Linked DNA regions of Arabidopsis thaliana. The protein of the gene in region 1 interacts with the protein of each later gene in a pairwise test. Each region holds a gene or a part of one and is shown in the gene's direction. Other genes may lie near its edges.

Region 1 (4,749 bases):
AGTGCAGATAATCCGATTGAAGTCTTTGGCAACAGGGAAACCGTCTGAATAGAGTAGCTTTTTCGGGATGACAGTCCAACCAAGTCGAACTCCAGTGAAACCAGCATATTTGCTGAACGAAGCTGTCTCCATAGCGACCTGTAAGCGGTTGTACACATGAAGAAAGATGTTGAAAAATGGACCTTTTAATGTTATAATCAATCAGTCTATTACCTCCTCTGCTCCAGGGATTTCGAAGATGGATCGTGGGTTATCATCAGACATGTACATTGCATAGGCGGAATCATACACTATTATAGAACCGTTCTTCTTTGCAAACTCAACTAACTGCGTTAGTTGCTCTCTCGTGGCAGCAGCACCCGTAGGGTTATTTGGGGAACAGAAGAAAATTATATCTGTCCTGCCAACGGTGGACAAGTCGGGAAAGAAGCCATTCTCTGGAGTGCATCTCATGTACTCGATGTTTCCATACTTTTGCACATCAGTGTTAAATTGCCCAGTCTGACCCATAATAACACTGGAGTCCACATAAGCCTGTATAATCCAAAAAAAACGAGACAGCATAGTTCCACGTTAAAATGGAGCAAAAGTAGAGAAGACTACAACTGCAATTTGGTTTCTATATGCCCAATTACCGGATATGAAGGATCCTGAACAGCAATTGTAACATTGGAACCAAACATAACCTGCAAGAAGTGGAATCAAGAAACAGCTGTTCATATTTCTTAATCTTGTATCAATTACAGATGAATAGTCAGCAATAAAACAAACCTGGAGACGTGAGATATCACATTTAGCTCCATCAGAAACAAAAACGTCATCATCCCCTATGCCAAGGCCACCGTAGAATGTTTTCGCAATAGCAGCTCTCAGTGGCTTTTCACATATGTGAAATCAAGGTTAGTTTGGATAAAAACTTAACAGATTAAGCTTTAAGATTTTACATGTAAGAAACAGGTTTAAATCCATCTTCTCTTGAATTTAGCAGCAGTTCAAGACTATCCATAATAAAATTGAAGTGACGTGCAAAGGCAGATAATAAAGAAATGATAACAACGCAATAAGGTGGAAATGAAGGGTGCACTGACCTTTGCACCTTGTTCAGCACCATAACCACTATATCCCTCTATTGTTGACAACTCATGAGCTTTCTGTCAGAGAAAAAAAACATGATTAATCTCTAGAGATTACATGCCTGTGTGAATAGTATAGCAAACAAAAAAACTATGCTACCAGAATAATTTTCATTGTTAGATTACAGAGAAGTTCTCGTTTAATAATCCAAATACGCCAAAACAGAAAATATGTTATACATTTTTGTCAAAATGAACGAAATAATACATGTTAGGGCAGTGTTAGTAAAATCAGTTTAAAATATGCTAGAGCCCAGAGAAGGGCAAAGAGCACATGAAGCTAAGTTAAGATAAGGAGGTACCTTTGCCATAGCAGAAGTGATCACTTCAGGAATTGGCTCAGTTGTGTCGCCTATTCCAAGACTTATAACTTGTGCATCTGGATATTTCAACAAGTGTGCAGACCTTCTTCTTGCAATCTGTTTGCATCCACACAAAAAAATAAGAGAGAGGAGCATTATATACAGAATCAATGAGGATATATTAACTTATTACACAGATAGTTATAATATTTCAGATCACTAGAAGCTTTCAAAAATGTTAACTTGAAATGCCACTCCTTTAGGTATTTGAAATCTTAAATAGTAGTACCAAGAGAGTAACAGGTAACAAACCTCCGGGAATAGGTATCCAGCCTGAAGTTTGGACATGTTTGAATTCCGTGACACTTTGGTCTTATACTCTACATACAGAAAACAAAATCATGTATTGTAAGAAACAGATAAACAGCTAAAAGACGATAAATCATTAACTATGTTACTAATCATTACAGCAAAAACAACATGGAGTAGGAACATTACCGATCTTCTCTTGCGGCGTAGCAACACATTTGCAAGTATTGACCCGTTTTGCCATGGGTAAGCAAGCATTTCGAGTTCTGAAGCCAAAAAGGAAAGCAAACCAATAAAAAAATGAATCAATGATCATCACAAGCAAATGCACTGTTCTCTGGCCAAACAACACCATCCAACATCGACTTAAAAACCAAAGGATTGAAATTTCCAAGTAAATTCATAACATACAATTAATTTCTGGAAATGAATCCAATTTCATATTCATCCTCACTAGATTATATCAGTAGCAAACAGAGAGTAAAAGAAAACAAAACGACGCACCTGAGATTAAAATTTGAAGGGGCTAAGAAAGTGGATGAGGAAGAAGAGATCATCGAAGAAACTAACTGATGGGTCGACGACATTTTTCCTGCTTCGCACAAAGATTTTTTCAGACAAATTTGCAGAGCAAATGAACCATGGGAGATAGTTGGTGAGACTGATAAAACTAGGGTTCTTCTTCGGTTTGGTCTGAGAGGAAATTAATCCGGTTTGTTCCGGTTCGGTTTTACTAGAAATTTTTGGGAATTTTCCAATTCAGTTCAATTTATTTATTTCTCTCTCTGGCTCGGACAATGATTTTGCTCTGCGCCTGCTGGAAAACGCCGAGGAATCGCACGATTTCGTGAAGCTGCTACTAGATATCTGTATCTGAGTCAATTCGATTTCGTGGTAATTAATCTCGACCAATAGGGTTCTCCAAAAATCCCCTTTTCGATTGTTGTGTGTTTACGTAATTTTGTTTGTTTTGCTTCGTTGATTTCGTTGTCGAAAGAACGTAGCTTTAGTGGAAGTTCTGTGATTAAGAAGCAATGATTTAGATAGCTGTAGTGGTCGAATTAAGTTCAACTCCATCTTTGTTTGATCTACCCAGATTGATTTGATCACATAACTTGATTAGGCTTATACTTTTTTGTTTTACCTTGGAGTAGATGGATCTGGAAACTGAAAATCGAATAGCTTCCATTCTTTTAAGAGAAGCAGCAGAATTGAGGAGACAAGCTGAGAAAGATGGCGTCAGAGCATATCTTGAGAAGCCTAATGTAAGGCATCGACCTAACTCTAGATTTCTCACTGCTACAGTTCTTGGTGTTCAGCAAGGTATAATCTTTTGTTGACAGACTTTGCTTCTATCCAACAAAATCTAGTTTTTTTTTAGTTTATCTCTTATTTGTTTCTTCTTTATTCCATTCAGCAAACAAAGCTGTGGAAACCAATGAGATGTGGAGTCTTCGGAGTAAAGAGATTGAGTTTGGTGAAAGGCTCAAAAGAAAATCAAGAGATGAGAGCAGCAATGGTCAAAGTGAGCAGAACAATAGGAGGGATTTTTTAAAGAGATGTACTTCAGTTGATGAGAATGTTACTACTACTAGTTTATCACCATCATCAAGCCGGAGCAGAAGCAAAAGATGGCAATCAGAGGATGATGATGATGAAGGCTTAGGAGATGTCGAGGTTAAGACTTTTCTCCAATCAAGGTATTTCCATTATACTCAGATGCTGCCTGATTATTTCCTTTACAATAATGATCGAATTTGGGATCGGCTTTTGCTGATAAAACTTGTGATTCTGGTCTATGATAGGGTCAAGCGTGGCAGAGGTTCTGTTGGTGCTATGATGGATGAACCGCTACCCTGTCTTCCTGAGAGGGAATTGTCAAGAACTTCTGATACAGGAGATCGGAAGCTAGTGATTCAGCCAGAGCGATCACCTTTATTGAGACGTAGGACAGATTCTTCTTCTTCCGACGAGGAGGAAGTTTACAAACGGGCTCATAGAAAGAGAAAGGAGCATAAGAAGAAACTTAGTAAGAAACACAAGTCAAAAGAGAAGAAAAGGGATAGGAAGAAGAGAAAATATGGTAGGGACTAGATCTTTCCGGACAAAAGTAATTGCCTTTTTACACCGGCAGTGATGTTGTATCCATAAGATGATCATATTTCATTAATTCTTGTATTAGTAAAATGCGAATAAAAACTCTTTGAAGTAAGGTAGAGAGTGACATATCTTAGAGACTAATGATATATAGGTAGTAGAGACAACTATTGGTGTGGCCTATGAGGGTTCAGATTTGGTAAAACTCTTTGAAGAAAGGAGAGAGCGACATATCTTAGAGACCAATGATATATATATAGAGAGAAAACATCTTGAAACCATAGAAAAAGTTGTTGTTCATGCCTACATTGATACACATTCGCCGGACAAGTGACAGTTTGAAAGTTGAAAACAAAGACTAAAGTTTTCGACATTCATAACCAGTTCAGTGGTCATGCACTCTGTGTTAGGAGTCTTCAAAATGGTGATCAGTTTCGTCAAAGATCTCCTCCTGCAACCACAAGCCAAGCAATAATTAATCCGTGAAAAAGAATTTTTGTTTTTAACTTATATAAGATTCCTTACCTGCAGAAGTTCTTCAATGACATCCTCCATCGTAATGATTCCGACTGCTTCTTCTTCCTCAGCAAGTTTAGGCAGCGGATTGCCATTCAATTGCAGGATGTCTGCATCATTGTCTTTTGACCACTTCTTGCTCTTTGACCCTCCTTTAAACGAACTTGCTCGATTCGGAAAGCTCTTCCACTTTTGAAGCGATCTTTTTGTCCTTAACATTCTCTCCTGAGGAGTAGGAGTTCCCTCACTATCCACATCCACTCGGGCTTCCTTAACACTCCCTATTAGAAACCAAAGCAAAGATTCTCAATACTTGTAACTCAGCAAGACATTGTTTTGTCGATTAATGAAGCAGTTTACCATTTTTAGAAGGTAATGGGTGGATTTTGTCA
Region 2 (4,799 bases), about 15 Mb from region 1:
GGGTTTTCAGGTGACGGTATGGCTTATATATCGGAACGTTTCCGCTTGTTCCTGCGTTACCGGTGGAATTCGCGTTAGCGACTCCGTTACTTGTTCCGTTACCACCGCTTGGCATCGTCGTCTCTCGTCGGATTTAGCAGAGTGGAGATGATCTCAATGAATCTCTCACCGTTACATATATATACATTCCGTTGACCATGACCTCTTGGGAATTACATTTTTACCCTTCATTCCTCATTTCTCGTATTGGTGGTTCTTCGGCTCGGTTCGGTTCGATTTGAATTTGTCGATTTTGTTGAACTAAAATTGGTCCGGTTCGTTTGGTTTATTTAGTTCGAAGGCACTTTATTCGGTTGGTTTCAGTAATGAGGTTTCGGTATATTTGGGTTAATTTCGGTTTGTATAATCGGTTCAATTCGATTTTAATGCCCACTACATTAGAGGACTCTGAAATCAAGATTTATGTATCCAAACATCTGTGAATGAAATTGAGATAAATCCATAGATGATGGTTATATTATACACACAACAGAAGGGAAGATTTATGCAAGAAACGAATGTAATTTTGAACATTGAGAAGATCCTATGAAGGCTTGTTTTTGCCGTAAATATCTTCAAAACCATCAGCTACTCGTTTCCTTCTTTCAGCAATCATTTCTGAATACGACTGAACCAAAGTACACGAAAAAACCACCAGAATCTCAAAGACAAGACCAAAGTAAAGTCTTGTTCACTAAGATTATAGAAACTAGCATTGTCTGAAGATGTTTAAACAGGATTTTTACTTTAACTTAGACTTAGTAAATTAGAGCTACGAACATTTCTTTAGTAAGGGAATGAAAAGGAGAGGTTGTTAGATGATGGAAGGGAAAATCATACCTTTGGGTAGCTATAAAGGAATATGTACCACCAAGCACCAATTACACCAACCGCAAGCGATGAAACTATGACCGAGTGTAGTATTACCCAGCTACATGCCACTATTGATAGACCCGTTAACATTATCGTCCATGGCTGACACCTGAGAAACATAGCCAGTTGCTTATTCAAAACCATACGGAAGAACACTAGGCCCTGAAAACGTCTAAGAAGAACCGTAAAGTTCTTGATTGCAAATACACACCAGATCAATAGATATTCAAAGCTGTAGATGCTGAGGTCGAAATGTTAAACCCTTCTTAACCCAATTACCATTACATAATCTGTATTTTGGTTCTTCACTATCTTCCTAACCAAAAGATTCAAACTTTTTCTTTCTATCTTCTAAACCACAACACACAATCATGAAACTGTAATGGGGTAAGTCTTGTTTTAAGTAGCATCAATAAATATATAGCTTCATATATGATTCAAAAAAGTTCTTGGGCAGGCATAAATCACTGAAAATGCTAATAAAGATTAAGGATTGGTCCACTTAAAAGTGAACTTAAGACTCTATCTAAGCTATAATCCCATATTCACAACCAACAAATACGATTCCTCATAAGTCTTAGGACCAAATCCAAACTACTTGAAATAAAATTGTTGGGAACTTAAATGAGATTTACCAAGAGGGTTTAGTGTCCCAAACAGAGTCGTATTCGAGAGAGAGATTGTCTAAGAAACCTTCCATGTCATCAACTACGCCTTTTTCATCGACAAATCTTGAATCCTTCGGCTCTCTCCGATTCCCACCAAAACTTCTAACTTTCGTACTAATCCTTATTGGTTTGAGATTGAACGAGTGTAAGTTCGTTCGGAAACTGAGTTTTGAAAGAAGATTCTCTGTTTGAGGCCGAAACGGCGACAGAGACACGGCGGACATGGAGAGACTTGCCATCTGAAGACGACGATAAGGATAGAGGACTCGATTGACTCTAATTAAAATGTGGGGTGCTTTGTGTAAAATCAAAACATGATTTTCAGTGGTGAATAATGATAAATATTGGGCCTATTCGTTAAGGGCCCAATAAGTAAAAAGGCGCAGATACTGTATATGAATCAAAGCCCTAATTTATCAGACAGCTGCTTAGATTTTGTTTTCTTCATTGTCGTCGTCGGAGTGAATTAGGGATTCGAGAATGACGATGAACTCGCTTCCGAGGAGATTTGGGAAGAATCATGGCTATTTGGATCGAGATTATCGAAACGGAAGACGATCTGGTTCAGATTCCGATGAAGAATTGAAGGGATTGAGTCACGAAGAGTATAGGAGGCAGAAACGGCTTAAGATGAGGAAATCAGCCAAGTTCTGCTTTTGGGAGAACACACCGAGTCCACCTAGAGATCAGAACGAGGATTCCGATGAGAACGCCGACGAGATTCAGGACAAGAACGGCGGCGAAAGAGATGATAATTCGAAAGGGAAAGAAAGGAAAGGTAAATCTGACTCGGAATCTGAATCTGATGGTTTGAGATCTAGGAAGAGGAAGAGTAAGAGCTCGAGGTCTAAGCGCAGGAGAAAGAGATCTTATGACAGCGATAGTGAATCCGAAGGGAGTGAGAGTGATTCGGAAGAGGAAGATAGGAGACGAAGGAGGAAGAGTTCTTCTAAGAGGAAGAAGAGTAGAAGCAGCCGTAGTTTTAGGAAAAAGCGAAGTCATAGGAGAAAGACGAAATACAGTGACTCTGATGAGAGCAGCGATGAAGATAGTAAAGCTGAGATTAGTGCTTCTTCGTCTGGGGAGGAAGAAGATACCAAGTCAAAGAGCAAGAGGCGGAAGAAATCTTCGGATTCTAGTTCAAAACGAAGCAAGGGAGAGAAGACGAAGTCAGGGAGTGACAGCGATGGTACTGAGGAAGATTCGAAGATGCAAGTAGACGAAACGGTGAAGAACACTGAGCTAGAACTTGATGAAGAAGAGTTGAAGAAGTTCAAAGAGATGATTGAATTAAAGAAGAAATCTTCAGCTGTTGATGAAGAGGAAGAAGAAGGTGATGTTGGTCCAATGCCATTACCTAAAGCTGAAGGTCACATCAGTTATGGTGGTGCTTTAAGACCCGGTGAAGGAGACGCCATTGCACAGTATGTTCAGCAAGGTAAACGTATCCCACGTAGAGGAGAAGTGGGTCTTAACGCTGAAGAGATTCAGAAGTTTGAGGATCTTGGTTATGTGATGAGTGGAAGTAGGCATCAAAGGATGAATGCTATTCGTATTAGAAAAGAAAACCAGGTTTACAGTGCTGAAGACAAACGGGCATTGGCCATGTTTAACTACGAGGAGAAGGCGAAGCGCGAGGCTAAGGTTATGTCTGATCTGCAGCGGCTTGTGCAGCGCCATATGGGAGAAGAGGTGGGGCCAAATCATGACCCTTTCGGTGCTGGAAAGACTGAAGAAGATGATGATTGATTTTGCTTGGCTTCCTGCTTCTGTTATGTGGGTACTCATCTTATGCTTTATCTTGTTGAATGTTCCTTATTTGCATCATAGATACTGCTGTTTGCTACTTGCCCGTTAATGAGCTTCGTAGTTTATGCTTTAATCTGCTATGTATCCGTTAATGAGCTTCATAGTTTATGCGTTAATCTGCTATGTATCACATGATTGTGTTTGTGTGTCAAAGATAATAGATTCTGACACTGAGGATCTGCAACCGTTCTTGTGCATTTACCTTAGGTCATGTTCGATGATTGAATTTTGCAGGGCATTCACTTAGTTCTGAGATTGTAGAACAATCAATTATTTAGGATATCCGCTTTGAGCCCACCACTGTATTTTCGAATAATGTCCTTTAATGAGCTTCACAGATTATGCATTCCTCCCTCTGTATTCATATCATTGCGTTTGTCTGTTAAGAATCCAGTCATATCATCATCAATGTTATCATTGTCACCATTATTATCATCATTCTATTTTTAGAACTGTGAAACAAAACAAGTACTTATATATATTATTGGGGATCTCTATAATTGTGAAGTGCAATAATTTCGGAATTTGGAGGCAGATAAAATTTGCAATAATATCCGAATTTGCAGGCAGATCATATTATTGGTAAATTACCTGCAAGGGTTCCAATTATAGTTTATGATTCCACTTTTGTGGAACTATACAATGTCTGAATCTGTTCTCAATAAATGCACTATCTCAATAGAAGACCCTACCAAGTACCTAGTCCATAATCTATTATTCGTTTCATAAATAATAACATATAAATCATTCAAAGAAGCAAAATGATTTTGGTTAAGAATTGAATGACAAAGAAAACGACATCTGTTCAATTTAGAGGAGATTAGCATTTTCGTATTACTATTCAAAGCTTAAAAATAGTATTTAAAAACAAAAAAATTATCAAAGAAATGTCATGTAAAGGTCCTCTTCTCATGCACGAAACGAATGATAATTAAATTAATTTATGAGCAAGACGCTTAAGTGATCCTTAATTGCTTTGTTTATAAAATAGTTTAATTATTATTACTCTGCTCAAGTAAAGAACGTGAAGGACAAAATGGTAACTGAATATAGTAAAGGGTATTAATGTAATTTCAATTCAGCAGACTCATGAAGTAACTGTGCCTACTTAAAGACAACTGCTCTGTTCTCTCTCTCTCCTTCGTCTCTATCAAGCTCATTTCTCAGATCCGTAGGATCTTCATTTCCATGGAGGCTTAAAAACCCTAGAAGATATTCTTTTACACATCACTCATCCGCTAGTGAAGATAAAAATCATTTCTAGAGCTTCCTCTTTCTCTCTCTGTATGATCTGAAGCGAATCGTCTTTAGATTCTTCACCAATCACTATCAAAAGGACCTCTTTTTAAAGGTGAATTTCTCTATGGAAGCTGTCTTATATGTTCCTTTTTTCAGGATCTGATCTTTTCA

The links. Proteins that work in one complex are often made in the same cells at the same time.
Region 2: the proteins of AT4G33690 (region 1) and AT4G02720 interact in a two-hybrid assay, tested with the Arabidopsis thaliana proteins (2 studies listed by BioGRID).

What each region holds. Positions count from the first base shown.
Region 1 is NC_003075.7:16,172,300-16,177,048, forward strand, and holds AT4G33690 (G patch domain protein), read left to right. Parts: upstream 1-2,456; 5' UTR 2,457-2,638; intron 2,639-2,898; coding exon 2,899-3,067; intron 3,068-3,161; coding exon 3,162-3,444; intron 3,445-3,549; coding exon 3,550-3,838; 3' UTR 3,839-4,029; downstream 4,030-4,749. Other genes in the region: AGD2 (Pyridoxal phosphate (PLP)-dependent transferases superfamily protein), read right to left, coding at 1-138, 214-534, 636-686, 772-876, 1,089-1,151, 1,436-1,552, 1,748-1,815, 1,934-2,010 and 1 more; AT4G33700 (CBS domain protein (DUF21)), read right to left, coding at 4,248-4,292, 4,367-4,638, 4,718-4,749.
Region 2 is NC_003075.7:1,203,075-1,207,873, reverse strand, and holds AT4G02720 (Ras-induced vulval development antagonist protein), read left to right. Parts: upstream 1-1,981; 5' UTR 1,982-2,060; coding exon 2,061-3,329; 3' UTR 3,330-3,785; downstream 3,786-4,799. Other genes in the region: WDR5b (Transducin/WD40 repeat-like superfamily protein), read right to left, coding at 1-115; AT4G02725 (spindle pole body-associated protein), read right to left, coding at 584-667, 880-1,021, 1,548-1,819.